Saccharomyces cerevisiae S288C: one gene and its partners. The protein of the gene in region 1 purifies or fractionates together with the protein of each later gene. This does not show direct contact. Each region holds a gene or a part of one and is shown in the gene's direction. Other genes may lie near its edges. The genes, in order: PUF3, PSP2, SGN1 and QNS1.

The links.
Region 2: the proteins of PUF3 (region 1) and PSP2 purify together in Saccharomyces cerevisiae (affinity purification with mass spectrometry; 2 studies listed by BioGRID, with this or other methods). This does not show direct contact.
Region 3: the proteins of PUF3 (region 1) and SGN1 purify together in Saccharomyces cerevisiae (affinity purification with mass spectrometry; 2 studies listed by BioGRID, with this or other methods). This does not show direct contact.
Region 4: the proteins of PUF3 (region 1) and QNS1 purify together in Saccharomyces cerevisiae (affinity purification with mass spectrometry; 2 studies listed by BioGRID, with this or other methods). This does not show direct contact.

What each region holds. Positions count from the first base shown.
Region 1 is NC_001144.5:121,575-130,524, reverse strand, and holds PUF3 (mRNA-binding protein PUF3), read left to right. Parts: upstream 1-5,810; coding exon 5,811-8,450; downstream 8,451-8,950. Other genes in the region: PSR1 (phosphatase), read left to right, coding at 1-1,195; rRNA-processing protein SOF1, read right to left, coding at 1,533-3,002; YEH1 (sterol esterase), read right to left, coding at 3,270-4,991; EMC6 (Emc6p), read right to left, coding at 8,877-8,950. UniProt on the Saccharomyces cerevisiae protein: RNA-binding protein involved in post-transcriptional regulation. Negatively regulates expression of COX17 by binding to the 3'-UTR of COX17 mRNA. Promotes decay of COX17 mRNA by enhancing its rate of deadenylation and subsequent turnover.
Region 2 is NC_001145.3:235,032-243,159, forward strand, and holds PSP2 (Psp2p), read left to right. Parts: upstream 1-1,556; coding exon 1,557-1,560; intron 1,561-1,922; coding exon 1,923-3,700; downstream 3,701-8,128. Other genes in the region: YML018C (uncharacterized protein), read right to left, coding at 1-921; PPZ1 (salt homeostasis regulator), read right to left, coding at 4,427-6,505; TATA-binding protein-associated factor TAF11, read right to left, coding at 6,958-7,998. UniProt on the Saccharomyces cerevisiae protein: DNA polymerase alpha mutation suppressor. Suppressor of group II intron splicing defects of a mutation in MRS2. May play a role in mitochondrial mRNA splicing.
Region 3 is NC_001141.2:354,398-361,581, reverse strand, and holds SGN1 (Sgn1p), read left to right. Parts: upstream 1-4,686; coding exon 4,687-5,439; downstream 5,440-7,184. Other genes in the region: AIM21 (Aim21p), read right to left, coding at 1-697; MPH1 (3'-5' DNA helicase), read left to right, coding at 1,186-4,167; YIL001W (uncharacterized protein), read right to left, coding at 6,101-7,184.
Region 4 is NC_001140.6:242,026-250,295, forward strand, and holds QNS1 (glutamine-dependent NAD(+) synthetase), read left to right. Parts: upstream 1-4,167; coding exon 4,168-6,312; downstream 6,313-8,270. Other genes in the region: oxysterol-binding protein related protein OSH3, read left to right, coding at 557-3,547; PPE1 (phosphoprotein phosphatase methylesterase 1), read right to left, coding at 6,414-7,616.

The sequences.
Region 1 (8,950 bases):
TCTCAATAAAAACAGAAGCGTTAAACATTCCAACACGAAAAGCCGAACCCGTGGCGTACATCAGACAAACTCTCCTCCTTCTAAGACAAATTCAGCCGCTACTTTCAGTTCCACTGAACGATCCACCGGTAAATCTGGGATAAGCACGAACGATAATGAAAAAAAGAAGCCATCGTCGCCGACTGCAGCCGTCACCGCCACTACTACTAATAATATGACAAAAGTAGAGAAGCGAATTAGTAAAGATGATCTTTACGAGGAAAAATACGAGGTTGACGAAGATGAAGAGATCGACGATGAAGATAACCGTCGCAGTCGTGGCATTGTACAGGAAAAAGGAGATGCTGTGAAAGATACTTCCAGGCAGAAAAAACAACAGCAGCAACAACAACAACAGTCACAACCACAACCACAACCCCAGTCACAGTCACAGTCACAGTCGCAGTCGCAGTCGCAGCAGCGAGGGCCTACTGTACAAGTATCGTCTGACCATCTTATCCAAGATATGAATTTGAGTAGGGTAAGTAGCAGCTCTCAAGCCAGTGAAACTTCCAACGATGCCGACGACGAAGACGATGAAGATGAAGAATATATTGATCTAACGCTTTTGCAGCAGGGCCAGTATCATGCACCAGGTTACAACACTCTGCTCCCCCCACAAGATGAAAGTACAAAGGGCAAGAAATGCCTAATACTGGACCTGGATGAAACCTTGGTACACTCTTCTTTCAAATACTTACGATCTGCGGATTTTGTTTTGTCTGTGGAAATAGATGACCAAGTACACAATGTCTATGTCATTAAAAGACCTGGTGTGGAAGAATTTTTGGAAAGAGTCGGAAAATTATTCGAGGTTGTAGTCTTCACGGCTAGTGTCTCTCGATACGGTGATCCTTTGCTTGATATATTAGACACAGATAAAGTCATTCATCACAGATTATTCAGAGAGGCTTGCTATAACTATGAAGGAAACTATATAAAAAACTTATCCCAGATTGGAAGGCCGTTATCAGATATCATCATTCTCGATAACTCTCCGGCATCTTATATTTTTCATCCCCAACATGCAATACCGATTTCGTCCTGGTTCTCAGATACTCATGATAACGAATTATTAGATATTATTCCTCTTTTAGAAGACCTTTCTGTGAAAACCTCACTGGATGTGGGCAAAATTTTGGATGTAACAATATAATGAGCACTTTCGCCCGAATTTCTTGTGGCCCCCGCTACCAAAGAATGAAGATGAAGAAGATGAAGAAAAGAACCAGAGAACAAAAAGTTTTTTCTTTTTTTTTCTTTTTTTTTTTGGCTCAACACACTGTACCCATGCTGTCCCTTGACATTTTTTTTTTCAACTTCTTCTACCATTACGACACAATGTATTCATATATAAATTCATAATCTAATAAAATGGTAATTTTAATTTAACGGGACTGGCGTGAACATTTATCAAATACATGTGAATTAAAAATTAAAAAAATGCAAATATTGTACATATGTGTATATACAGACAACATAAAACAGAATAACTACTTTTCTTGAGTATCACGTTTGTCATCTTCCTTTCTTCTTTTCCTATCTCTTCCTGAATCTTCATATTTGTGCACGGTACCAACGATTTGTTTCTTCCTTTCGGAAATGTATGGCATATCCTTTCTAGTACGCCTTTCATTAGCTTCTCTTCTCTTAATAGAACTCAACTCAATGTTCTTAATTTCCTGAGCCTTTTTGATGACTTGTGGCACGTGTCTATGTCTACTGATTCTTTTGATCTCCGGCATATGTCTAAATCTTTCTTTTAATTTTTCGTCATATTCTAATTTATTCTTTTCACGAGTAGTTTTGACATTAGACCTCTCCCAAGCTTTACTTCTCCATAGCCTAACATTCCCATCATCAGATCCACTGATAATATATTTAGAATCCATGGAATATTTAACCTGGAAAACATGCTGCATTCTCTTCGTATGATAAATTTCTCTCGAATGTCCGTGATTCGTCTTATATATTCTGATACTCTTATCGTACGAACCAGTAACAATCTCATCCCCCGTAGGAGAAAAGTCAACATCCATTACTGCGCTGACGTGATCTTTGAATACATTCAATGAACGTGATAAATTCCTCATATCATAATAGTAGGCGTTATGATCTTCATTGGCAGTTACAAAGTTGAAGGCCTCCATTGGATTCCAGCAAATAGCATTCGTCCTCATTGTTTGAACAATCTTTTGTGTGGGGGAGTTGGTTCTCAAGTCGTAAAGAACAATAGAATTATCACTACCAGTACTGGCCAAGATATCTGTTTCATTTTGATTGAATTTTAAACTAGTAATGTTGTCTGCTCCCCATGATAGATCGGAAACTGGCTTCAATCTGTTAACGTCCCAAAGATGGATCTTGGCCCCACCTGTGGCAAACGTGGAGTTTTCTCTGTGCGAATCGATACCTTGAAATGCAGATTCACCGTCAAAAGTACGAATCAAACCTTCCTCGTTAGTAACGGAGTCGTTATCACTGGAGTTTTTATTGGAGTAATCATCAACATTTATTGACCATAGCTTGACAGTTTTGTCATCACTGCAAGATAACATAAAATTTTGGCTCTTCAAATCTGGCTTCTTGTCATGAAAACGAGGCTGTGTCACACAAAGACCAGTAACGAGTCCATAATGCGCCTTAAAGGAAACAAATTCTTCTCTAGTAGACATGTTCCAGTATTTAATCACACCATCTGCAGAACCAGTAGCCAATTTATTCAGACTACCATAATTTTTGGCAATAGCATAAACACCATCTCTATGACCGTATCCTAACTGACCCACAAAGGGTTTAGCAAACATTCTTTCCAATTTGGTGGCATTCAAAGCTTTAGTATATTCACGTGCCCTTTCAAAAGGATGCAATTCAGGGTTCAAATTCCTGGGCATTTGAGATTCCTGCGTACTTTTAACAGGGACATAGTCATCAGCACTTCTTTTAATGGTCTTAATCTTCATTTTAACGCCTTATCTTCGCGAGTCAAACTACGTTAATGAAATGCGGTTGCTTTATACAACTGTAATGTAATTCAAACTCATCGATTTTTTTTCAATATCAAATTTTTCAAAAAAATGTATCGTTATGCACGGTGATGTCCCAACTCCCGACAATTTGTGACACAATACTTCAAAAAAAAAGAACAATTAAAAACTAAAAATTTACTAGCCCTCTATCTATGTATTCCCAAGTATAATTTATATTAACCTATATATCATGCTTCCTCTTCAAGCCTTCTCAGCAACCATTTCCAGCTCCGTTTCCACCTCTGTGTCCGAACAATCACTTTCAAAGGCGCTGGATGGCTTCTTGGAGTAATAGTTGTTCAAATTCTGTAAAATTGGTTTACCAATTCTCTCTATGACATCATGTGCCCATAGGACATCAATATGGGCATACTCATCAATGTACCAGATCTTGTAGTTGACATTCGACTCCACATTGACGAAATGATTGATTAGTCTTTCTCCGTCCACCAATCTATCTTGCTTTGGAACAAACAAGTAGATATTTGGGGCCTTTGATGCGTCTGAAAACCACTTAACATTGTCGGGGAACATCTTATGGGAACCAAATTTAAAACTTACCTTGTTGGGGTCGGGTGACAGCCACCATTGCATCAACTTCACTGAAACATGGACTGGCGAAAACAGGAAATGGCGATCTCTTAATGCGGTATCCCAAAGGGTATCGTTCCAATCAAACAGGTAATTGAAGATGGTGTAACAAACAAAGGAGAACAAGCTCTCACCAACGCACAAGTTTCTTACAATCATCATTATCTCAAAAAAGCTCGTTTCACCAAAGAACCAGGGATTTTCGATTTCCTTTGTCATAAGCTTAACAAACAATTTCTCGTTAAGTAAGGGACCAGGATACACTGCGGGGGCCAAGGCAATATAGTTTGCGATCTTAGAAGTGAAAAAAGATTCTTTAGATCCCGAACCGGGAGGGAAAAACTTATCTTCGTTGACCAAGCCCATAAACCCCTGTGTAGTGCCCTGAGAATGCGAGATCAAAGTAAGCTTTTCAAACTGCGTCTTAGCTAACACGGTATCAATCAAAAGGGTCAGATCGTACTTAACCATCTCGCGAAGGTCCCAGTCCCACCTGGAAGCTAGTGTCGGTACTTTCGCTTCGTTCCATTCCGGCCTAAACCCGCATCTGTTATTCCCTAACCATATGTCGTAACCGGATTGATACAGAAAATATGCCAGAGATTTTCTACCATTGGATGCGAACGAACCACTGCTTTGCAAAAGGCCATGTAGCATCAAAATGGGTGGCCTCTTCTTCTTGTCAGAATCTGTCGTTCTATATTTTGGTATCAAGTGCCACAAATCTATAACAAACCCATCTTCGGTCTCCAATCTAAATTCCTCTATTTGAATATTGTACTGGTTAAAATAATAATTAAGATCCGCAACTAATGTCAAGTCTTCCGATAAGATTAGATTCTGTAATGGATTGTCGCACTGTACAGGAATTTTTTCAAAAACCGGTTCATGATTGGCAATTTCATTGCTACTATTATTGAACTTTCCTTGCGTTACGCCTTCGGTAACTTTTTCCTTCTCGATAAACCTAAAAATAAGCTTTGTCAAAAATTTGTGAAAAAGGTTTTTATGCAGTGACGAGGACCCCACTTCGTGGTTCTTTTTACGGACAACCGTTCTTGTATGATCGTAGACGATACCGTTTTTCTTGTCATGTTCCAGATCGAGGTATGGCGTCGCGTATGCATTGGTTCTAGTGAGAACATGGTCATGGTGTACGTTTCTTTTACTTTCGTCATCAACTTCGATTTGGGTCGATGAACTCCTAGTGTCTCTGTGCTCATTTATAAAATGGTGTGCCAGCGCCAGAACAAGCACTACTGCCATAAAACAGCAGACTATGAACGTTGCTAGTAAATTCCTAGCTCTTTTCAACACCGCAGAAACACCCATCGTGTGAATTGTGCAGTAAATATACCTATATATAAAACTATTACTTTATCTGCAGCCATCTATATTAAAAAATAAGTATTTTTGTGTATAACAATAGATTTCTATATATATATGTATATATATATATATATATAAATTTAGATTAACCACAATATCATTTTATCGCTGCATTTTTTTCATCTTCTTTCGTTCCTTCGCGTTTCTTTTCTCGTATATAATAAGCTTTTGCACATTGCCTGCGATACGTCCGAAAAGGGAACGTTTTTTCCCGATCAGACCGCCCCAGAACTTCTCGAAGAAAAGTGCCCGAGGGCAGAGCAGCAAGACCTAAAAAATTCGTGCCGGGGTTTGAGCTAGAAAAAGAGGGCTAAAGATAAACATCCGATCGCTATCTACGGTAATTGCGCACTCTGTTACCCTGAACTGCATTTCTTTTTTCCTTCTAAAAATTGTGGAGAGAGGAAGATAATTTCCCAAATGTACCATTAGCACACTTGAGAATGTATATTGGATGTATGAAGCTTGATGAATAGGAGAAAAAAAAAAACAAAGAAAAGAAGGAAAAAGAAAAATAAGTGGTGCCTGCACATATTTGAATATCTACTGTAAATAGTATAACACTGCTTAGCTAATTTTTTTCTGGTCATCTGGTCTCTAAAGAGAAACATAAGAAAAAGATAGGAACATTGAAAGGCGGTGAAAAGGAAACTTCCTTGCTACTGATATATCTATAAGCATAGAAGTACGCAAGCAAACAAGAAAACAAACAAGAACTACGCATTTAAATTTCTTCTGAATAACGCAATATTGCGGGTATAAATGGAAATGAACATGGATATGGATATGGATATGGAACTCGCATCCATAGTTTCTTCTTTAAGCGCCCTGTCCCATAGTAACAACAACGGCGGTCAGGCCGCCGCGGCCGGCATTGTGAACGGCGGTGCTGCTGGATCACAGCAAATTGGCGGCTTCAGAAGGTCGAGTTTCACCACGGCAAATGAAGTAGATTCAGAGATCTTGCTGCTTCACGGTTCCAGTGAATCTTCACCGATCTTCAAGAAAACCGCCCTATCAGTTGGTACTGCTCCGCCATTCTCCACGAACTCGAAAAAGTTTTTTGGTAACGGCGGCAATTATTACCAGTACAGATCAACCGACACTGCCTCCCTGTCATCCGCATCGTACAATAACTATCATACTCATCATACTGCGGCTAATCTCGGGAAAAACAACAAGGTCAACCATCTTCTGGGCCAGTATTCAGCTTCCATTGCTGGTCCCGTTTACTACAATGGCAATGACAACAACAACTCTGGTGGGGAAGGGTTTTTTGAGAAGTTCGGAAAATCTTTGATTGACGGTACAAGGGAACTGGAATCTCAAGATAGACCCGACGCTGTCAATACTCAGTCCCAATTCATATCAAAAAGCGTCTCTAACGCCAGCTTAGACACACAGAATACTTTCGAGCAAAATGTCGAGTCTGACAAAAACTTCAACAAATTGAATAGGAACACTACTAACAGTGGTTCGCTTTACCACTCCAGTTCAAATTCAGGCTCATCTGCGTCTTTAGAGTCCGAAAATGCTCATTACCCCAAGAGAAATATCTGGAACGTAGCCAACACACCAGTATTTAGACCTAGTAACAATCCAGCCGCTGTTGGGGCCACAAATGTCGCGCTTCCTAACCAACAAGATGGGCCTGCAAATAACAATTTCCCCCCCTACATGAACGGCTTCCCACCCAATCAGTTTCATCAGGGCCCTCATTACCAAAACTTCCCCAACTACTTGATCGGATCTCCTTCAAATTTCATCTCCCAGATGATTTCAGTACAGATTCCAGCAAATGAAGACACCGAAGACTCAAATGGTAAGAAAAAGAAGAAGGCAAACAGACCTTCTTCTGTTTCTTCACCTTCGTCCCCTCCAAACAATTCTCCGTTCCCGTTTGCCTACCCCAACCCAATGATGTTTATGCCACCTCCACCACTCTCTGCTCCCCAGCAACAACAGCAACAGCAACAACAACAACAACAAGAAGACCAACAACAGCAACAGCAACAGGAGAATCCTTATATTTACTACCCTACTCCAAATCCTATACCTGTCAAAATGCCCAAGGACGAAAAAACCTTCAAGAAAAGAAATAACAAGAATCATCCTGCAAATAACTCCAACAACGCCAACAAACAGGCAAATCCTTATCTAGAAAATTCTATACCCACAAAGAATACCTCTAAAAAGAATGCTTCTTCCAAATCTAATGAGTCAACGGCCAACAACCATAAATCTCACTCTCATTCTCATCCTCATTCTCAAAGTCTACAGCAACAGCAGCAAACGTATCATCGATCGCCGTTGTTAGAGCAACTAAGAAACAGTAGTTCTGACAAAAATTCAAACTCGAACATGTCACTAAAAGACATCTTTGGCCATTCCTTAGAGTTTTGCAAAGATCAACATGGTTCACGGTTCATTCAGCGCGAGTTGGCCACCTCACCAGCCTCAGAAAAGGAGGTCATATTCAATGAAATTCGCGATGACGCCATTGAGCTTTCGAACGATGTATTTGGTAATTACGTCATTCAGAAGTTTTTTGAATTTGGTAGCAAAATTCAAAAAAATACTTTGGTTGATCAATTTAAAGGTAACATGAAACAGTTATCTCTACAAATGTACGCATGTCGTGTAATTCAAAAGGCGTTAGAATATATTGATTCCAATCAAAGAATTGAGTTAGTCCTGGAATTATCTGACTCCGTTTTGCAAATGATCAAAGATCAGAACGGTAATCACGTAATTCAAAAGGCCATCGAAACAATTCCTATCGAAAAATTACCTTTTATCTTAAGTTCTTTAACTGGCCACATTTACCATCTATCTACCCACTCCTACGGCTGTAGGGTCATTCAAAGATTGTTAGAATTTGGTTCGAGCGAAGATCAGGAAAGCATTTTAAACGAATTGAAAGATTTCATACCATATCTAATTCAAGACCAATATGGTAACTATGTCATTCAATATGTTTTGCAACAAGATCAGTTCACCAATAAGGAAATGGTCGATATCAAACAGGAAATCATAGAAACTGTGGCCAATAATGTTGTCGAATACTCTAAACATAAATTTGCCTCCAACGTGGTCGAAAAATCTATTCTTTATGGCTCTAAAAATCAGAAGGATTTAATAATTTCTAAGATTTTACCAAGAGACAAAAATCATGCTTTGAATCTGGAAGACGATTCTCCAATGATTTTAATGATCAAGGATCAATTTGCCAACTATGTGATTCAAAAATTAGTTAATGTCTCTGAGGGTGAGGGTAAGAAATTGATCGTCATTGCCATTAGAGCATATTTGGATAAACTAAACAAATCTAACTCCCTAGGAAATAGACATTTAGCCAGTGTTGAGAAACTTGCAGCATTGGTTGAAAATGCGGAGGTGTGATTAGTGTTATCATCGTTCTCCTTTCACTTTTTACTATTTTTTTTTTTTTTTTTTTTTTTTTTTTTTCCTCCATTTGTCTTTCACTTACTCTATTTTATTTTGTTTTATTTTGATATCTACTCTTGTCCATAACATTTATGTTCCCCTATATTCATTATTTGCTTTTTTCCATTACCTACTTTTTGTACCTCATCTCTATTTTTCTGCAAAAATCTTTGCGCTCTTACGCTCTTCTTATTTCTGCAACAGATAGAGAATTTAACATTGTGTATTTGAAATCATTTGACTGAGAATACTGTTGTCATGTCTTTTTACATAGAAGGAACTAAAAAAATTTAAAAAAAAAAAACACAAATAACATTATATTTACTGTACATAATAAATCAAGCCTGTTTCTAACCGTTTATAGAAGTAGTTCTTATATGTTCATCCGATTAGGGCGTATCCAAATGTCCATGCCATGACAAAACCAGTTATCTCTCTAAAAAACGATTCGAAAA
Region 2 (8,128 bases), on another chromosome or scaffold:
AACAAATGTGATGAGACAATTGACGAAGATTATTACCACAACTTTAGGATCTTTGGGCAGAGAGAATGGTTCCCAGCCAAAAAAGTCCAATACAATCAGTGATGGCCATAGAAAAAGTAAATTAAAGAGACCAACAAAGCCAAAAAAAATCTTCATGTTAACACGAGTCTCATCTCCGACTTCTCTCTTCAATAAAGTACTGTAGACACCGTAAAGTACAGCACCTGCAAGTGCCAACAAGTTGCCTATCAGAACTTGCACGGCATCGTTATCATCACCACTAACGTCCGCGATATGGCGTTGGTAGCGCTGATGAGAATCTGATTTGGTGACCATGATTATGCCTACAAAGGAAATGAACGACCCGAGTACTTTGGACTTGCTCAACGATTCAACATGACAAATAGCACCTATGAACAAGGTGAAAAAGGAAGAAGTAGTGGAGAGGATTGTCTGCGATGCCACCGATGTGAATGCCAGCGAGGCATTGGTCACAAGGTTAGCTGTGAACCAAAGTATGCAGAACTCAGCACTTAACTTGATTGTTTCATATAACGTTAGCCTCTTCTTTTGGTTGGCATGCGTGCCTGCTTCAAGGTTTGTAAGCAGTGGGCTAGTCATATCAACCGAGCGATTGCTATCACTACCAGTACCTTCTTCCTCCATAATTAGTTCGCGGTGAACGTTTGCACGGCCTGTGTCCTTGTAATTCACCACAACGGCCTTTGCAGTTGGAAAAAGATAAAAGATAAAGGCGGCAGTATTGGTGTACGTGATAAAGAATGGTTTTCTATACGAGTCATCCTCGAAGATCAAATTTATCAGGAAGGACGATAAAACCCACAAAATAATGACTAGACCCAACATCAGAAGACCCAAGGTCCACCTCTTATTAAAGGACGTTTGATCCTTCGACACCATGGCTCTGTTGAACTTTTATCTGAGAGAGGAAAAAAAGGAAGGAAAAAAAAGAAGAAACTTCCTTTATTTATTTGTCTTAACCACAACACACAATGCAATAAGATGCAATATAATATCAAAGCCAATATCTTATGTTGCTGATCCTGAGAAGGAATATATACAATTTATGTAGTAAAATACCTTTTCTTCTGCGAGTTGCAAGAAATAGAAAAGACTCCGATTGCGCATCGCCAGAATAAAATTTCACAACCACACTTTTTGGCTGAACTTTTTATTACCTGATTAAACAGAGAGAGAAAAGGTAGAGGTCAAAATTTTTTAAGCAAAACTAAAAAAGATGCAAAATCACGTGCTGAAAATCTAACATAAGGGTTAAGATTAGAGTTTTATAGGACTTGTTTTGTAATATTTCAAATACGAGCTAACCCTACTGATTTCAATTAGGTCTAATTTAGGGTTGAGCTGCACTGAAATTTCGGAAATTTTGGGTTATTTTAAATGAGACAGAAGAACTACAGAGATACGTTCTTCAGACTTTAAAGCTTATCTCCACAAAGAATTGGTCAAGAAATCATCCTAGAAAAACACGTTTGCTCACTCGATCTTAATCACATAGAGTGCTGGAACGGGAAGAAATGGGTATGTGCCTCGGTTTTTCTCATTAACCCCTTTTGATCCATAACGGTCCTCTTTTGTTTCCTTTTTTTTTTTTGTTTTAGTATTTTATGTTTACTATTTTCTTCTGTTTCAGTCATACGTAGGAATTATTGCATGAAAGAGGATATAATATTCATGTGGATTTTTAAGAAAATAGATCAAGTTTAAATAGCCACTAACAATTGAACAATGCTCTCTCTTGGCCTCTTTTCTTCTTTTTTATCGTTTCTCTAAAAATCAAGCTGATTAGACATGGTCTTGCAATGTTTTTGCTTTCTCTAATCAGCTTGGTTTTCCGCAAAGAAGAGAAAGTCACGGAATTGTCTACATATGTTTCTATTCAGGAACAAATAATACATCTAATAATAATGGCACTACGAAGAAAATGTCCCTAGAAGAATTTCTAGGGAACGACACTTTAGGCGAGTCAGTATGGGATGAGGAAGATATTAATTTGGATGCTATAAGCAATACTACGAATATTGACATCTTGAAACAAACCAAGGCAGGCGAACATCAACGTGATGGTCACCAACAGCACCCACACGGTGGTCATGGACCCATGAACAGATCACGTTTTTCTAATGCAGGGCCTTTTGGTGGTGGTAGCATGGGGGACTTTGCAAATCATCACCACCCGCTGCAGCATCAGCAAGGTCCTCCTTATATTGTGAAGTTTTCTGATTTACCACCGAGATTTTCCAACTTTGACATTGAAGATCTTTTTCAAGCAAAGTTTACCAAGTTTATTAAGTTCAAACTGTTTTGGGAGATAAATAAAAATCCAAGTATTTCTACTTTGAAATCGGGGTCAATCTTTGATCAAAATTTCAAACGTGACTCGAAGGTAGCATTTGTCGAGTTATATACATCCCGTGATATGGACAAAATTTTGAACTATTGGACCACTCCTTTGAAGGAAATTTACCACATTACAACAGCGCCCGCAGAATTCGAAGATTTTAAGGATTACAGCACGAAGGTGAAATTATTAACAGACCCTAAAGACGATGCTGGCAAACCATTCATTACTAAGACTCAGCGGTCAAAATCCAATCCTTTTGGAAGTGCTAAACCGGTTGATACGCAATCGAAGATTTTGGACATTGAAGAAAAAATGGAAAATTTACACGTGGAAGATACAACAACCCTGAGGGCATCATTAATCCCTAGTAGTGATTCTATGGCAACCACTGCAACAGGCAGCAAGATCACAATCTTGAAAAAGCAGACACCTACAGAGGAGGAATCACATTCTGCAACCCCAACTCCCAAACCTTTAAGTTACTCTGAAGTAGTTGAGAGATCTGTGGTCAATGAAACTTCCAAGAAAGGAACTCCATTAAGCAAGCTTGACTCACCAGCTCTTGAACTACAATCTAAGCCCGATAAATCGGACGAGTTCAAAGGTGGCGATGAACAAGGCTTTGAGAAAGGTGGCGACGATAAAGCTCAATTAGATGTCTCAAATGATAAAGATAAAGGTTCAGAAACCGATGTTGATAAACAGTTCACTTTCAAGAATGTGGAAAGGGAACATAGTATGAGCAGAACCAAATATAACGGAAACCATAATAACAATAATGGCAATTTTAGAGGGAGTAATAGATATCGTGGAGGCCCCAATGGCAGCAGTTATAAAGGTGGGCATAACAATCGTGGTAATCGCGGCGGATATCGTGGTGGCAGCTCATACAACAACAACAACAACAACACTAATGATAATAATAATAATAATAATAATAGTAGTAGTAATAATAATAACGGTTCAAGATATCATGATCGACAAAACAATGAAGAAGGGTTAACCTCGGATTCATCTTTAGATGCCTCAGGAAATAAAAAGAATGATTTCACGAACTCAACATCCAATACACAACAATATTCCATTTTCAAACCAGCAAGTGGGTTCCTTGGCCAAGGTAATAATGATTCTATAAGGAACAATGGACGCGGTAACTATAACAGCAGCGGTATGAATGGAGGTTCGAGAGGAAGAGGATTTGGCAGAGGAAGGGGATTTGGCAGAGGCGCATATAACAATCGAGGTAGTCGTGGTGGACGTGGAAGCAGCGGTAACTACTCCAACTACAATAACAGAACAACAGACATGCCTTTATGAGTCATGTACTGACCCATTAATTTTCTTTTCTCTTTTTTTTTTTTTTTTTTTTTTTTCCTCTATTTCCTTTTTTTGTTCTAGTCGGTTACGCAGTTCTGAGTAATGTAATATAGCGTTCCTTTTCCTCTCAGATTTTTTTGACCTTATTTTGTTTCCACTTTTTACTACTTATGCTGCTTTTTGTCCATTTCCCCTTCAGTTGTTTTGAATTTTTTTTTTAAAAAAAATTCGTCTTTCTGATTAATCAATTTTGATTATATATTTTCTCTTGATTAGTTCACAATTTTTATAGGCCCTTATTTCTTAAAGAAGTTTTATGAAGTTTCGTAAGTATTGGGGGGGTTGAAAATAATCTCTCACGTTATACGCAATAAAAAATTAAAATTAAGGAGAACCAATCTATAGAAACGAACCATTGAATTTAGCTATATGACTATATACCATTACGTAATTTATATAAACAGCTTAATATAGCGAAAGCAAAGTAGAACGAAATTTCGGAGAGTTCTAGATTGTATAGAGCGAATGAGCATTCAATACACACGCGAAGGCAGTAGGCGATGAAAGGAAGTTTTTTAATGTCATTAAGAAAAAGATAGGGAACTTCTATTTCCTGTCTTTCATATATATATATATATATATATATATATATATGTGCATATGTACATCGTTGAGTTGTTCATGAAATAATGAATATAATACTTCTGGATTTTTTAGTCAGTAAATTTACTGTTGAGATTCGTTATCATTTGTGATGCTTGTTTCCATCATTTGCTGTTGTTGATTAGCCAGTTTTCTTTCCTGTCTACCTTTCTTCATAACTTGCTTCAAAGCTGCACTATCTAGTGGATCTAACAATTCAAAAGAGCACAATAAACCTTCGCTGACGCTCATTACAGCCCCCCAATTATCAAATTCACCACAATAATTTGGCGCGGAAAACACCGTAACGAGACTTCTATCATTGAAAAATTCATAACCGTCTTCCACAACCATGTGAGCTCTACAAACCAAATCAAACCCAAACTTGTTCAAGAATTTGTTAATTGCCACCTTATTATAACAGTAACTTACACCACGTTCGTTATCCTCCCATTCGTTGGGTGAATCTGTGGGATCGGACCACAAAAGATCATTAATTAAGCCAAAATCTGGTACATCAGTAGGCCTAACTACATGTCTGATTTCATCCATAGAATTTAAAACTGGCGACAATCCACCATGAACACAAAAAATCTTTCCGGCTACGATAGCAGCTAATGGTAATGTATTAAAAGTATCGATGAATGTCTTCCAGATCTTGATGTTACAACGACGTTTACATTCATCATAAAATCCATAAACCCTTGTGACGTTAGCACATTCATGGTTGCCTCTCAATAAAAAGAAATTTTCAGGGTATTTTATTTTGTAACAAAACAATAGTAAAATAGTCTCCAGTGACTGTTTACCACGGTCCACATAATCACCTAGGAATAAATAGTTCGAGGATGGTGGGAACCCACATTTGGTAAAAAGCCTTAAGAGATCCCCATATTGGCCATGAACGTCGCCTACAATTTTTACAGGAGGTGATAATTCTAATAAGGAAGGTTGAGAAAGAAAGATTTCACGAGCCTTGATGCAAATCTGTAAAATTTCATTGTTCTTCAAACAAACATTTTTTGTTCTCTTAGCAGCGTAGCCCGCATCCAGTAATTTTTGGATAGTTTCATCAATATCGATAGGCTTTTTGAATTTTTTTGGAGCGTTTTTGTTTCCGGAAGATTGCATTATATCATTAAATTCCTCATTCGGATCTTTTTTGCTATCTGTTATATTATTATTTTTATCATTAACATTTTCCATTGATGCATGGATATTACTCAATTGAGATGAATTTTCAATGTCATCATCATTGCTGATGTGTTTGCTCGGGTAAATATCGCGACTTGAATGGTGATTCAATGAGGAGGTTGAATTAGAGGTAAAGTATTCACCAGAGTGATCTGTTAGCTTGGACAAGCCTGGAGAGTTTAATGGGGTGCTGTATGCGGTATTACCATCTGATCCAAACGAAGATTTCCTACTGTGTAGCGAAGATGCATGAGAATTTGACCGGGTTAATGCCTGAACGAGATAATTCTCCTGATTGTTAGAGGAGTATGATCCATTGTTAGGCTCTTCATGGGTCACATCTGATTTCCTTCTTGACACTGATCCGCTTCTTATACTGGACGGACGAGAATTCGAAGATCTAGAAAACCTTTTAGTGTGCGAGATGTCGTTGTCTTTATCATCATTGTCATCATCGGTTAAGGCGTTCTCATAATAGGTAGATGAGTATGAAGATTTATGCTTGGATACGTGTGTGCTACTATTGTTTGTTTTTAAAATGGGTGACTTGGGTTCCATTTGGATCATTGAAGGTGGTAAATCAGCAGCAGCCTTAGTATTATAACTTGATCTTCTAGAAGTAGAAGGCCTCTTAGTAGAGGATGATGAAGGAGTAGTTAACAATTCGTTTTGAGAATTTGAATGCGAGTGTGAGCTAGATGGGAAATGGTAACGATTCGTGTGAGAGCTATGTCGTTGGTGATTAACCTCAAGATTGGGCTTTGATGGAGTGGAGGGATCAGGGACGTTTGAATTAGTATTCGTAGTGGACGAAGAAGGAAGAGATCGCCTTGATCTTGAAGATTTATTTGATTTTGCAGACTTCACAGAATGGGAAGTCTCGGTTCTCGACACTTGAGGACGAGGATTTCTCGAGGAGGAATTCGAATGTGAATCCTTTTTCGAAGATTTTGAACTTGAATTACCCATTTTGAAAAGGAAGGAAAGATAAGCAGAGAGTGGTTGATTTGTTGTTTTATGACAAAGCCTCTAGGGGAAAAGAAGCGACTATAACGATGAAATAAAAATAAAACGATAAAGAAAAGTATAATCAAATGTATTCCAAAGAAGTACTTTTATATATAATCTTTATATTTAACTTGAAAGAAAAAGATTTAACATGTATTGCCAAAACAAACAAAACTAATAATGGAAGCTATTGTATTGTGCTTTTATGTTACCCACCTGCCAATGGTTCACAAGAGAAAGCTGATTAACAGAATTAGAAGATCTGCAGTAATCGTTTTCTTTTTTTTTTTTTCATTAATTTATATGCTATCCTTTTAAAAATAGACATGTCATTTCAAACGACATGTTAAAAATTATATATATGTTTATATATAGATTGATATATGTTGGAGCCGTTGGACAATTATGGGCAGCTATCTGAACATGGATCCCTGCCCTTCTCCTTGAGTTCTCCAGTAAGCGTTAGGCAAAGTGTCCGACTGCAGACGGTAGAGTCTCCACGCCTCACGGATGTGTTCGGGCAATAAGGGACTGTTGTTATATTTCTCGATGCTTACATCTAGTTTGTTGAATTGGAGGACGAGCTTATTGTACTGCTCGATGAGTTGTAGCTTCAAGTCCTGTGAATTATGGTCTGATTGCTGTAAGGATTTGGACTGTAGCAACGAGTTGCCCAGCGTAGTTTCGCGCTTGTCTACTTCTTCATCGTCGAAGTAGAAATCAGGTTCGTCTTCGGGAACGCTATCGGATTGATAATCTTGCTTGTATTGCTGGTTTTCTATGATGGAGAAAGTCAATTTTTTTAGATATTTTTTCAATTTATAGCCTATTTTGGTCCTCTTATCAAACTCTATGCACATTTGACTTGTCAACCACTTATTCTTCACAATCATGGCCAATTCGATTATCTCACCAGCGTATATTTTTCCCACCGCTTGCAGAAAAACACGAATATTTTCACTTATAGTTTGATTAGCTACTGTGCTAGCCAGTTTTTTGACCTGGGTTTTGTTTAGGGATGTTCTATGGAAAACTTCAAACCGATTAGTTTGATCTTTATCCAAGTTGGTTACCAAGAGCTTGAATTGTTCGTCCTGCGCAAGTTTTTCATTTTCATCTTCGTTGGTATTGGTGTCTTCGTAATTGCTATTTTGTGTTTGCTGTTGTAAAATGTCTTGTGGAAAGATCAGGTTTTCTGGGACTTTGTTGATAGAGTCCGGGTCTTGCTGATTTATCCTGGTTTTCTGGTATTTGTATTTTGGATATTTATTTAATTGGTTGTTGATTGATGTACCACCCGTTCGCAGGTTTTGCAATTTCCACGTAACGTAGTCCTGGTCCTCACTGATGACTTGGTCAATCATTTGTTTTGTGGAAAAATAGTTTGCTATTGTCAGTATTGGCGGATAGTTCACTTTCGGGATGGTGTCCAAAGGACCTTGAGGTTCGGTCATCGTTGCGCTGTTGAAGCTCAAACTTACTTTGTGCTCTTCATTTATATGGATAATTATCTCTATATACCTCTTCTTGATTTTTCAATTTCTTTCAACTTTTCAGTCGAAGAAATGGGAATAAGAGAAAAAA
Region 3 (7,184 bases), on another chromosome or scaffold:
TGAGGCTGCCTTCTTCTACGTCCTTACTAACATCTACCTGTACTTTCATATCTCCAGGAATGAGCTTTTCTTCAAAATGGCTTCTATCCCCTGCCTCATTATCTAGGGCAGCATGTACCTTTTGCTTTTCAGTAAGGTCTTCGGAGTCACTATGCTCTGTCACTTCATTATTAGACTTGTTAACTAAATTAGAAGGTGAAATAGCAGACTCATTGCCCTCAGCACCCTCGTGCTCATTTTTTTCGAGTGGGGAGGGATTTGTAGAAGTTTTGTTATCTGATGCACTTCTTTGCCCGTTTTGATGAATGGCGGCCACCTTTCCCTCTTCCACAGAAGTTGGACTTTTTTTCCTGGAAACATTGTGTATATTGTGCTTTGAAATCAAACTTTCAATCTCCTCTAACTCCTTACTGGTGTTATTCATTACATTATTTAGTTCTTCAGTAGTGGAGCGTCTAACTGGCCTCTGCAATGGTACCTTGGGCAAACTCTCTTGATCCATACCACTCTCAAACGAAGTCATCGTCTTTGCTTTAAGTATGGGTCTACGTGTTGGTACATTGGGCGTTCCTGCTGGTGTTGGTGGCTCGCTATTAGCTTTAATATCTCCTGATTCAGAGCCGGATAACGGAAACAGCTCAGATGTCTTCCTCCTTGAGGGCCTCTCAGGTACTTTTGGCGTAACTTCCGATGGCATTGTATAATCGGTCAAAATAGATTTCCTGTTAGATCACCAACAAAACATGATACTTTCTAAATCAGAAAGCTTAAATTAAAATATACTCAATATTTCTCCTTTTCTTTTGCTTCGCGCCTGGTAAAACAAGATTGCTTTCATTGTGCATGTGGTAGAAAAGACAAGTTAAAAAAGGAGAATGTACTAACACAAAATTCAAACTCCAAAGGGGATAATTGCACTCAATTTGCAAGGTTGTTCCATATGAGACAGGAGTCTTCTTCTCCATCGACCTTCCTAGCTTACTGTGCTCACAGAAAGACATAAACCGGGTAACGGCTTTTACGGGGTTACGTGTGTATATAACCGGGCATCACGAAGAGATCAATAGAGGTGCCCTATGCTCTATCACGGAGCTAAGATATTGTGATTCAAGATATAGTAGCTCACTTCAGTTTTATTCAACACATTCCGGTTCTGTTTTATTTTAGTGTCCTTTTTTCTCTCTGATGGCTAGTGCAGATGATTACTTTAGTGATTTCGAAGATGACGAGCTGGATAAACTGTATGAAAAGGCTATCAATAAATCTGTGAAGGAAACTATAACGAGACGTGCTGTACCAGTTCAAAAAGACCTTCATGATAACGTTTTACCTGGGCAGAAAACTGTGTACGAAGAAATTCAAAGAGATGTCAGTTTTGGACCCACTCATCATGAGCTTGATTACGATGCTTTGTCGTTCTACGTGTACCCTACAAATTACGAGGTAAGGGATTATCAGTATACAATTGTTCACAAATCACTGTTTCAAAATACGTTATGCGCCATCCCAACGGGTATGGGTAAAACGTTCATTGCCAGTACAGTAATGTTAAATTATTTTCGTTGGACCAAAAAAGCCAAAATAATCTTTACTGCTCCAACAAGACCTTTGGTAGCCCAGCAAATTAAGGCATGCTTAGGTATAACAGGAATACCTTCGGATCAAACTGCTATATTACTCGATAAAAGCAGGAAAAATAGAGAAGAAATTTGGGCCAATAAGAGAGTTTTCTTTGCCACACCGCAAGTAGTGGAGAATGACTTGAAGAGGGGTGTATTGGATCCTAAGGATATTGTATGTCTTGTCATCGATGAAGCTCACAGAGCTACTGGCTCCTCTGCGTATACAAATGTGGTAAAATTCATAGATAGGTTCAATTCATCATACAGATTATTAGCATTGACCGCTACACCAGCCTCTGACCTGGAAGGTGTCCAAGAAGTGGTTAATAACTTAGATATTTCCAAGATTGAAATTAGGACTGAAGAAAGCATGGATATCGTGAAATATATGAAGAAAAGAAAAAAGGAAAAAATTGAAGTGCCCCTTTTGTTGGAAATTGAAGACATAATCGAACAATTAGGTATGGCCGTCAAACCAGTGCTTCAACAGGCAATTGAACTCGGTATATATGAGGAATGTGACCCTTCACAAATAAACGCCTTCAAAGCCATGCAACAAAGCCAAAAAATTATTGCTAACCCTACTATACCTGAAGGAATTAAGTGGAGGAACTTCTTTATTTTACAGTTATTGAACAATGTGGGTCAAATGCTAAAGAGATTAAAAATTTATGGAATAAGGACATTTTTCAATTACTTCCAGAATAAATGTACAGAATTCACTACGAAATATAATCTTAAAAAATCTACTAATAAAATTGCAGCTGAGTTTTATTACCATCCGATTTTGAAAAACATCAAAAATCAATGCGAAAATTATTTAAGTGATCCAAAGTTTGTCGGTCATGGGAAGTTACAATGTGTTAGAGATGAACTAATGGACTTTTTTCAGAAAAGGGGTTCCGACTCGAGGGTTATTATTTTTACAGAATTAAGAGAAAGCGCACTTGAAATTGTGAAGTTCATAGACTCGGTAGCTGACGATCAAATCAGGCCTCATATTTTTATTGGACAAGCTCGTGCAAAAGAAGGTTTTGATGAGGTCAAATACACAAGAAAACATGCGCCAAAGGGAAGGAAGAAGGTAGAGAGATTGCATAGGCAAGAGCAAGAGAAATTTTTGGAAGCTGAACGAACTAAGAGAGCGGCGAATGATAAACTTGAAAGAAGTGCCAGACGAACGGGGAGCTCTGAAGAGGCTCAGATTAGCGGAATGAACCAAAAAATGCAAAAAGAGGTTATCCATAATTTCAAAAAGGGTGAATATAATGTTCTCGTTTGTACATCAATTGGAGAAGAAGGTTTGGATATCGGAGAAGTTGATTTAATAATCTGTTATGATACTACAAGTAGTCCAATCAAAAATATTCAGCGTATGGGTAGAACAGGCAGAAAACGAGATGGTAAGATAGTACTACTGTTTAGCAGTAATGAATCATACAAATTCGAGCGTGCTATGGAAGACTATTCAACCCTGCAAGCGCTTATATCCAAGCAATGCATTGACTATAAAAAATCAGATCGGATAATCCCTGAAGACATTATTCCGGAATGTCACGAGACATTGATCACGATTAATGATGAAAACGAAATAATTAATGAAATGGAAGATGTTGACGAAGTTATTCGTTATGCGACTCAGTGTATGATGGGCAAAAAGGTGAAGCCAAAAAAAGCCATAACAAAGAAGAAGAGAGTTCAGGAAAATAAAAAACCGAAGAAGTTCTTTATGCCTGATAATGTTGAGACCAGTATTGTTAGTGCAAGCACTTTAATTAATAAGTTCTTGGTGAATGAAAGTGGCGGGAAACAACTAGTAACGAGTAATGAAAACCCAAGTAAGAAGCGGAAGATTTTTAAAGCTTTGGATAATCTGGAGAATGATTCAACCGAGGAAGCTTCCTCCTCATTAGAAACTGAAGATGAAGAAGTCAGTGATGATAATAATGTTTTCATTGCGGAAGGGCAGAATGGATGCCAAAAAGATTTGGAAACTGCCATTATTCGCACTGGCGAAAGTCTTACCACACTCAAGCCACTTCATAATTTTGAACGCCCTAATATGGCTTTATTTGTGAATGATTGTGGTCTTCCAACTAAAATCGAGAAAAATGTGAAAGACATCCGAGGAAATCAACACAACCTTGAAAAAGAAAAGAGCTGTACTGTTGACAAGAATAACATGGTATTGAGTTTGGACGATTGGAATTTTTTCAGAAACCGCTATATCCCAGAAGGTGTTTCCTTCGATGTGGAGCCCAATTTTGTACAATACACCAAAGGGGTAAAAGTTCCGCATTGTCACAAAGTTTCAAAAATCATTACGTTATTTAACGACGAGAGTAATGATAATAAGAAGAGGACAATTGATATGAACTATACTAAATGTTTGGCGAGAGGCATGTTACGAGACGAAAAAAAATTTGTAAAAGTTAACGATAAAAGTCAAGTCGATAACAACAGTGTCAACCATGATTCATCCCAATCTTTTACCTTATCGAACGCAGAATTAGATGACATACTGGGCTCAGATTCTGATTTTTGATAGGAGACTCTTATACGTCGGCGTCTATACAAAAATAACGCTGCTGTAATATTTAAGTATTTATAGATTTTTCTATATATCGCATAAATACTTCAAGGACATTATATTTTTAGTATCAACTTATTTTCTTTAGAATTTTTCATTCATTAAGGATACGGCACTGTTTTTGAAGCAACAAAATATAAAAATTGAGCCAACGACGAGTACAATCTGTAATCTTCCACGCCTACCAATGCAAAACCTTTCTGTCATGAAGCACTAAGCATAGCGCTTCAATTTGTGGCAATCACCATAATAAACAGCTTGTTTCTTGGAGGATATGAAAAAGATTATCAATCATTCGTTAGGTGAAAAAAAACCGCAACAATTTCCTACACTCCGAAAAGTAACCTTAAAATGCAGCAAATTTCAAATTTAATTTTGATTAAGTAAGTAATCTCAACTTTCGCTCTCCAACCAGGCCTATTAACATAAACATATATCTGCTGTCACATAGTGTCATCATTTGCAATTGCTGTTATGTCCCAGGAAGAGAAAGTGGATGCTAAGGCAACCTTAAAGACTGAAATTTCGAACAATAAAAAGAACGACAAGCAAGAGCTCGAGCTGGATGAACTTGTGGGTAAACTATCTATCGAGGGCACTCCACAGGTGTCGCAAAAGCTAAGCAAGGAGGAAAAACACGCTCATCAACTTGAAGCTGACTCGCGTTCTATCTTTGTCGGTAACATCACTCCGGATGTCACCCCAGAGCAAATAGAAGATCATTTCAAAGACTGTGGCCAGATAAAAAGAATAACACTTCTTTATGATAGGAATACGGGAACACCAAAAGGCTACGGCTATATTGAATTTGAAAGTCCGGCATACAGAGAAAAAGCCCTGCAATTAAATGGAGGAGAACTTAAAGGCAAAAAAATTGCTGTCTCCAGAAAAAGAACTAACATTCCAGGATTTAATAGGCATTACAACTCGCAAAACCAGTATTTCCAACAATGGCAATGGAATTATCCCTTAATGGCCTACCCCAATCCCGATACCTTCCCTTATTACCCACCGTACCCTCCAAATCAGTCTCCAAATCAAAATTTCGGATATAATAAGAACAATTATTATAGGAGTCCTTACAATAACAAGAATAGAACCTTCCAAAAAAAACACTTCAACAGTGCCAAAGACTCTACAAAAAATATTAGATCTACTTCCCAAAAACCTGTTGTCATGCCGTCTGACAACGTTAAAAGTTCTACCCAAGAAAAAGATTCGAAATAAACACAAGGCTTTCATGTGTATACTTAATAATAATTAAGTGAGCTGCTGCTTTGAATAAGTTGAAGGACAACTGGTGTTATCTCGCTTGTCTATCCAAACCTTCAAGAATAGGGTAAATGCAAAAGCAAATATAAAATGCCACAACTACAATCAAAAAAAGAAATGTCATCGCTTGTTACAATATTTTCATTCCTTTATTCAAGGATTTTTTTTTTTAATTTTTCGTTAAAAAATATTGATCACTTTATAGGGAATATTATGTACCTGGCTACAGCTGAAGCTTGCCTCTGTATGTAAAGTATCTAAAATATATCAATTTTTTTTTTTGGATAACACCTGTTTTCATTACCCTGTATCTCGTATTCGTGAAAATAACTATTCTGAAGTAATAATTATAAAAAACATTTCGGAAAACAAAACCATTAATAATTTGTTTTTAATTTTAAATATCAATATTATAATAATTTATAATATTATAAAAATTTAATTAAAAATATAAAAATTTTCACGTGAATCATATGTATATATATTTTTTACAGAAAAAGTATCATACTTCTTATTATAATTGTCATTATATTTTTTAAGAGTGCGCAGCAGTCATTGGCAATATTCATCCGTTCGCAGTGACGCGTAAAAATACATAAGGTTATTGAATGCGGAATTATACATCAAGTTCCAGATCAGCTAGGATATTATCTAACATACCCATATCTTTTCTGTACTCCAAATACCCTACTTGTTTTAGGTATTCTAAATCGTCTTGGTTTTCGAACAGCTCCACATCATCCGGTTCAAAAGAATATTTTCGGAGCAAATAGTACCTAATGTCATCCACTAGTTCAATAGTATCAGTTTCCTGGCGGAGAGAAATTCGTTGTGAACTCAACATAATTGCCCTTTTAATCTCTGGATCTTTATATAACTCTTGCAAATGTATAGCTATAAATTTAGCTGCAAATTGTTCTAAGCGTTCCACTCCTATTTCCCATGATAAATAGAGTACGTCAAAAACATTGTATTGCTGAATAAACTCTTTTGATTGTGTTATAATTGTAGAAGCGATAGTTTTTAAGCGGTCTTCTAAAAGTATATCGGCAAGTAACAAAACATCGACGGCATACATCCAAGGAATGTCTGTATTATCTGCATATAAGTAGCGGAGAATAATTTCGGCAACCTCAAACTCACAATTGGGTAATGTCAGCTGTGGAATGATACTATTATACTTTCCTGTAACGTGCTTGGCTTTGATATATGTAACTTTCTCCTTGAAGTTGTTTGTGAACATCACCTTGAAATATTCTGCGCGGCTCAAAACAGCCAGGTGACAAGGGTATATTCGAATGGCTCCATTTCGGTTTTTTACCATAAGTTGAACATCCGGATAAGCTGGACAGTTCATCAAGGAAAAAACTCGTCGTTCACTATTAGCAAGATCAACAGTAGATCTAAAGATACAATTGTTCACAAATATTAAAAGTTGACTTCTTGCAACCTCGGTAAACTTATATTGGTAATCTGACATTAACCTCGACTTTTCCGTAGGATCGGCGGTATGCCTTGCTTTGTCTAAAAATTCGGGCAATAACTCAATATCAAATTTACTAGATAGCTCTATAAGTTCTTCATATTGTCCCGGTTCAATTTGGTGCAGGATCGGAATTAAGTAAAGAAATTTCAAAAATATGTCAAATATATCTGGGCGCACTTCAAGAGAAACAATTTCATGCTTTGCCCACTCATTC
Region 4 (8,270 bases), on another chromosome or scaffold:
TTATCCAGAACCAGTTCTTTTAAGACTCGCCAGTTTCTTTTTAGCTGTAATAAGGAAAAATAGATTGATATTAGTTACAGTTGTGCTTCACGTTGTTAAAACGTACAAGAAAAGTCTTTAACTGTAGCAACCAAAAAAGGTACTTGATGTCGATATTAAGCCGCATCTCTAGATCTAAAGGCTCCACTCTACTGCTCCACTTTACTGCTCCAAAGAGTCGGCTTACAGATAGGCTACCGCTACATTAATAACTGTGCTGGAAAACCTTGTTTCCGGGAGCACAAAATTGTAATGACATATTTATTTTGGTTGTATCAAGCGTTTCCAACTGTTGATTCAACCAAAAAGCCTCATAGCTTTTAATACGGATATTGCTTAGGGTAGGGCGAAAAAAATAACCAAATCTTTGGAAAAAGCAGTTTGACACCATACAACCAGCAACGACATGGTTTTTTAGTGAACCTGTTGGGGGGAGAGTATAACTCGTGAAAGTTTCGACGTCCTATTTGCTGGAGAGTAGTAAAACGAGCTTGAATAGCAGCCTGCGAATCGAATTATGGAAACAATTGATATACAAAATCGATCATTTGTTGTTCGTTGGGTAAAATGTGGCCGTGGCGATGTAATCAATTATCAGATCAAGCCATTGAAGAAATCTATTGAAGTCGGCATATACAAAAAGTTGAAATCCAGTGTAGATGACCATGCTTCCGCAGTTCACATTGCACCTGACACTAAAACATTGCTAGACTATACTACGAAATCTCTATTACATAAGGGAAGTTCGAGTAATATTGAGGAGCATCACAGGCGTTCCTCACAGCACTCTCATAGTTCGAGCAATGGATCGGATAATAAGAGGAAAGAGAGATCATATTCTTCACTGTCCATTAGCGGCATACAGCAGCAATCCCAGGAAATACCCCTACGTGAAAAACTCTCTGCGTCAGGATTCACTTTGGTCAAGAGGGTCGGCAACGTTTCCGGTAACACTATGGTCCAAGGTGATCTTGAAGTGAAAGATACAGACTACTATTATGCATTTATACTGGACAACTCGTCTTCCAAGAATGCAAAAAAGAAAATTCTTTTTAACGCAAGTGTGATAAACGGCGATAATCAATCGATGATAAGCACAAGATCCACCCCTCCCGCAAGGCCTACAGCTTTAAGCAGAACATCTACTCAACAGGATATGTTATTTAGAGTAGGACAAGGTCGTTACTTGCAAGGCTACCTGCTGAAAAAAAGGAGAAAGAGACTACAAGGTTTTAAGAAAAGGTTTTTCACCTTGGACTTTCGATATGGAACCCTATCGTACTATTTAAACGACCATAATCAAACTTGTAGGGGTGAAATTGTCATAAGCTTGTCATCTGTTAGTGCCAATAAGAAGGACAAAATAATCATAATTGATTCTGGTATGGAAGTTTGGGTCTTGAAGGCTACAACTAAGGAAAATTGGCAGTCGTGGGTCGATGCGTTACAAACTTGTTTTGACGATCAGTTCGAAGATAAGGACACGTCCACTTTGGAAGAAAATCCCGACATTCTTGACGATGACAAGGAAGTAATTAATAAAAGCTCACCTCAAGACCACGACCACCTCACGCCCACGGCTACGACCAAAAGTGCACTATCACATAGACAGCATACTCAGAAAGACATGGATGACATATATGTCCCATTGCCCAGCGAATCTTACGCTACTTTCTCCATGAATCTACGTTTGATTCAACAACGACTGGAGCAGTGTAAAAAAGACTCGTTATCTTATAAACCAACTACTTTACATCAAAGATCGGAGGGGCTAAATGGAACACATTCGTCATCTTCCGTCTTTACCAATAATAGAGTGTCTTCATTCAATCATTCTTCTTCTGGTATGACGTCATCTGATTCTTTAGCCTCTGAAGAGGTTCCTTCCAACAAAACATATATTGAGCATGCTTTATATAACCAATTGGCAGATCTTGAAGTATTTGTTAGCCGGTTCGTTACACAGGGAGAGGTTTTATTCAAGGACCACCAGATCCTGTGCAAGAAAGCAAAAGACACGAGAGTTTCTTTAACTTCATATCTTAGCGAGAATGATGAATTTTTTGATGCAGAAGAGGAAATCAGTCGGGGAGTCATTATATTACCTGACACAGAAGATGATATTAATAATATAGTCGAGGAAACTCCCCTTCTTGGTAAAAGTGACCAAAATGAGTTCACAAAAGAGGTCCAATTGTCGGGATCCGAACAGATAGCTTCATCAAGTGTGGAGAGCTATACAACTAACGATGAAAATCATAGCCGTAAACACCTCAAAAATCGTCACAAAAATCGTCGCCGTGGCCACCCTCATCATCAAAAAACCAAAAGCGCCCAATCCTCAACAGAAACATTTACAAGTAAGGATTTGTTTGCTCTTTCCTATCCAAAGAGTGTTACACGCCGTAATGACATACCTGAAGCTGCAGCTTCTCCGCCAAGCCTATTATCTTTTTTGAGAAAGAATGTAGGCAAAGATCTGAGCTCTATTGCCATGCCAGTAACCTCAAATGAGCCTATTTCTATTTTGCAGTTGATATCAGAAACATTTGAGTATGCTCCACTTTTAACGAAGGCTACCCAACGTCCTGATCCTATAACCTTTGTTTCTGCATTTGCTATTTCCTTTCTTTCCATATATAGGGATAAAACAAGAACGCTAAGAAAGCCTTTTAATCCTTTACTGGCTGAAACATTTGAACTTATACGAGAAGATATGGGGTTTAGGCTTATATCGGAAAAGGTCTCACATCGTCCTCCAGTATTTGCCTTCTTTGCAGAGCATCTCGACTGGGAGTGTAGTTACACTGTAACGCCATCGCAAAAGTTTTGGGGTAAGTCTATTGAATTGAATAACGAAGGTATACTGAGATTGAAGTTTAAGACAACTGGAGAACTATTTGAATGGACGCAACCAACAACTATTTTAAAAAATTTGATAGCGGGTGAGAGATATATGGAGCCTGTCAACGAATTCGAAGTACATTCTTCGAAGGGAGACAAATCACACATCCTGTTCGATAAGGCAGGTATGTTTAGTGGAAGATCTGAAGGATTTAAGGTTTCGATAATCCCACCACCTTCGAGCAATCGCAAGAAGGAAACTCTAGCTGGTAAATGGACACAGAGTTTAGCTAATGAAACTACACATGAAACTATATGGGAAGTAGGTGATTTAGTTAGCAATCCGAAGAAGAAATATGGCTTTACTAAATTCACCGCAAATTTGAATGAGATAACTGAAATTGAAAAGGGCAATTTACCACCTACGGACTCAAGATTAAGACCAGATATTAGAGCTTACGAGGAGGGAAATGTTGATAAGGCGGAAGAGTGGAAGCTGAAATTGGAACAACTTCAACGTGAAAGACGTAATAAAGGGCAAGATGTGGAGCCTAAATATTTCGAAAAAGTATCTAAGAATGAATGGAAATACATAACTGGACCGAAGAGTTATTGGGAAAGAAGAAAGAAGCATGATTGGTCTGATATTTCTCAACTCTGGTGAATGCCTTGATGACATCAAGTGAACTTTTTTCCCCCCTTTGTACTCTATTTATTTTCCATCTTTAATGATCATCCACACAAATTACTTGTATATGCGTTCATGTATAGTATACTATATACAACATGAAGGACTTTATAAATTCTTGATCAATCTTTCACACTAATTTTATATTAACAGTTCTACACTATTTTTGTTTGCTTGACTGTAAAAACATTCTATTTTATGATTAGTTGCAAAACTTGAAAAAAACAATAGAATTTCATCACATAATTGAAAGATAATGAACTCTTTCAGTCAGTTAGATCCATGTTTTTTGAAGAAAAGTTTACGAACACAGGATCTTACAAAAGGTGCCTAAATTTGGAATTGAAAGTCTATTGCTATCAAAACTTGTCAAAGATAACATAGCTTGGAACATCTTATCCTTTATATGTCCTGCTAAGTCATATCAAGAGGCCCCAATAGTTTCGTCGAAAAAGATAAAGAGGAATATGGAAGGGAAATATAAGATTATCAACTGGTTACCTCAAAATAGACTATATGCTCACATCATCAATTGATATTGCTTGTAAAAATACCCCCAAATACCCTGGCATTCTTTTTTTGACTCCCTGCCAGTAATGTCACATCTTATCACTTTAGCTACATGCAACTTGAATCAATGGGCCCTAGATTTTGAAGGTAATAGAGACCGTATCCTACAGTCCATTAAGATTGCCAAAGAGAGGGGTGCCAGGTTACGTGTCGGCCCAGAACTGGAAATAACTGGCTACGGATGTTTAGATCATTTTTTAGAAAATGACGTTTGCCTTCATTCATGGGAAATGTATGCTCAAATCATTAAGAATAAAGAAACCCATGGATTAATACTTGACATTGGTATGCCCGTTCTACACAAGAATGTTCGTTATAATTGTCGTTTGTTATCCTTGGATGGTGAGATATTGTTCATAAGACCTAAGATTTGGTTAGCTAATGATGGTAACTATAGGGAAATGAGATTTTTCACACCTTGGATGAAACCTGGCGTGGTGGAGGACTTTATCCTTCCACCTGAGATTCAGAAAGTTACCGGCCAGAGACTTGTGCCATTTGGGGACGCTGTGATAAATTCATTGGATACATGCATTGGTACAGAAACTTGTGAAGAATTGTTTACACCTCAATCCCCCCACATCGCCATGTCTTTAGATGGTGTGGAAATCATGACAAACTCATCTGGTTCTCATCATGAACTGCGTAAGTTAAATAAAAGGTTAGACCTAATTTTAAATGCCACTAAACGTTGTGGTGGTGTTTACTTGTATGCAAATCAAAGAGGTTGTGATGGTGACAGATTATATTATGATGGCTGTGCACTAATTGCCATCAATGGTACAATTGTAGCCCAAGGTTCACAATTTTCGCTAGATGATGTGGAAGTAGTTACTGCTACTGTGGACCTAGAAGAGGTGAGGAGTTATCGTGCAGCTGTCATGTCTCGTGGCCTACAAGCCTCCTTGGCAGAAATAAAGTTCAAGCGTATTGATATTCCTGTAGAATTGGCTTTAATGACCTCCAGATTTGATCCTACAGTGTGTCCAACAAAAGTCCGCGAGCCTTTCTATCACTCTCCTGAGGAAGAAATTGCACTGGGACCTGCTTGCTGGATGTGGGATTATTTAAGACGTTGTAACGGAACAGGGTTTTTCCTTCCCTTATCTGGGGGCATTGACTCTTGTGCAACTGCAATGATTGTCCACTCTATGTGCCGTTTAGTGACCGACGCTGCTCAAAATGGAAATGAGCAAGTTATCAAAGACGTTCGTAAGATAACACGTAGCGGCGATGATTGGATTCCAGACAGTCCACAGGATCTAGCCTCAAAAATATTTCACTCCTGTTTCATGGGTACGGAAAATTCATCCAAGGAGACAAGAAACAGAGCAAAGGACCTTTCCAATGCAATTGGATCTTACCACGTGGATTTAAAGATGGACTCATTGGTATCCAGTGTGGTGTCCTTATTCGAAGTAGCCACTGGCAAAAAACCAATATACAAAATATTTGGGGGATCTCAAATCGAGAACTTGGCTTTACAAAACATCCAGGCGCGTCTAAGAATGGTTCTTTCTTATCTTTTTGCGCAACTGTTGCCGTGGGTTCGTGGTATCCCAAACTCGGGTGGATTGTTAGTACTTGGTAGCGCAAATGTTGATGAGTGCTTACGTGGGTATCTAACAAAATATGACTGCTCCTCCGCAGATATCAACCCTATTGGGGGTATTTCAAAAACTGACTTGAAAAGATTCATTGCCTACGCATCAAAACAATATAACATGCCAATCTTGAATGACTTTTTAAACGCTACACCAACTGCAGAATTAGAACCTATGACTAAAGATTACGTTCAATCGGATGAGATAGATATGGGGATGACGTATGAAGAATTGGGCGTGTTTGGTTACCTAAGAAAGGTTGAAAAATGTGGTCCTTATTCTATGTTCTTAAAACTTCTTCATCAATGGTCCCCAAAGTTAACACCTCGTCAAATATCTGAAAAGGTGAAAAGATTTTTCTTCTTCTATGCCATCAACAGACACAAGCAAACTGTTTTAACTCCTAGTTATCATGCTGAACAGTATTCACCAGAAGACAACAGATTTGACTTACGTCCTTTCTTAATCAACCCAAGATTTCCATGGGCTTCAAGAAAAATTGATGAAGTTGTCGAGCAGTGTGAAGCACATAAAGGCTCAACGCTTGACATTATGTCTATTGATTAGCACAGAAGAAGTGCTCACAGCAAAATAAGACTTTTCCACGAGTTCATATATTCTGTTATTTATTCTATCATAAATAAAGATATAAAAGTGATATTTAACCCTTATGTATTTTGCACGGTTTTGTGTTGACCCCAATTAGTCTTGATTACTACATTCCTAGAATCGTTCCGCTTCCAGAAATCAATTAAAGTGATTGCTGTTTTTATAGGCGAATCTTCTTGAATGAAATGCCCGGAATCTTGGAAAACTACCAACTGATATTTACCTTGCATTTGCCCCACAATTAATTCTTTATCGAGATTTTCGTTTCCCGCCAATATTAATAATTTACTAACAGGTAAGCCAACAAAGGAGTGCGACAGATCGGTAAACCATGTGTCCCAGAAAGGGCTAAAGGTCTTAAGGTTTGTTATCCTGACAACTTTCCCTGACTTGAGCGGAGCAAATAAAGCTGGTATAGCAATTTCGGCGCTTGACCTCAATCTCGATAACGCGTGTTGAACGTGCCAATCGACAGCGTCATTAATTGATTCAAATACATTGGGTGTATTCTGCAAAAAATGTTCAACTTTATTTAAGGCCATAATGGCAGCCTCTTCTACAATATCTAACATAGTAATACCAAGAATTTTCTTTTGTAGTTCTGTTGATAATTTAGGGTACGCAAAAGTACATATACTTCCACCAAGGGAATGACCAATTAGTATAACAGATACCTTCTGAAGTGGCTCTTGGCTTATTTTAGACTTAAACCAATAATTTAGCAGGCTTACAAAATCTTTGATAAAAGAGTCCCTGTCAAAGCATATAGGCGCATCAGCCTTCTTAAACTTTGTTTCTGCATGCCCCCTAGCATCAAATGCAAAGCATCCGCATCTTCCTTCTAGTTTAGTATTTAATTCCTTGGCCAAGTTTGCAAATGATAAACCTGAGGAGCCCGCCCCATGGTGGAAAATAAAGATGGGAATTGAAGTGGTATTTGATAACAATGAAGTAGGTAATGTATAGTATGTATTTACGTCCAGATCTCTATCAGGAAGACTTACCAACTCCTTATTATCAAAAAAATCACTCCAAGTGGGTAAACTACTCTTTTCCTTACTTGAAATTCTATCAGTAGTACTACCGGTTTTGCCCGTATATTTTCTGTTCCTATTTGATTGTCCATTAAATGATGGCAGGGAACCTAATGCATCACCATCGTTTTCATCATCCTCGTATGCTTCTTGGAATGTCGCATCTAGAACATTCTTGGCTCTCTCAAACTGGGATAAAGCAATTTTTCTTCTCAAATCGTCAGACATTGAAAATTTGAAAATGTCCTACCGTTACTACCAGTTTGTTGCCGTATTTTTGACTCTTTGTTGAGCATTAGTTGATCATTACCGCTGCAGTCAGTTAATGATATCCCTAAATAGGCATATTGTACAATTTCAAATATATTACCCGAATTACAAGAACAATAGGGTCTTCTACAATATTACTATGAACAATTCATAGGGGAACATAGTCCACTTCAATGTCGGTGCCAACGATTCTATTTGTTGTAAGTATATATGCTGTTTCCCGGCAATACTTTATATTGGGGGAATTTTCTGGAGGTTTAAGGGCATATTACTACGTCAAGGCTGGGATTGACCTTCTGGTATATATTACGTTGCGCAGGACATTCCTTATACTTGAGCCTTTGTAAAAACTTCTTCGTTCTCCTGACCAACCGTTCAATTATGTTGTGAATTTTTTGATCCGAGTTTGAAACATCCAAATTCACAAACAAACCGTTGTCATCCTGAGTTGGCGTCGGCCATTGAGCTTCCTCTATGTGTTTTAAATCTTTCATTTTAAGAAATCTAAGTAAGGAAATTGTTTCTCCACATGTGTACCGTATAAAGTTCTTGTTATGAATTAGAAGGATTATCACAAAAGCCCTCCATCAAATCTGATAATTTCATTACCCA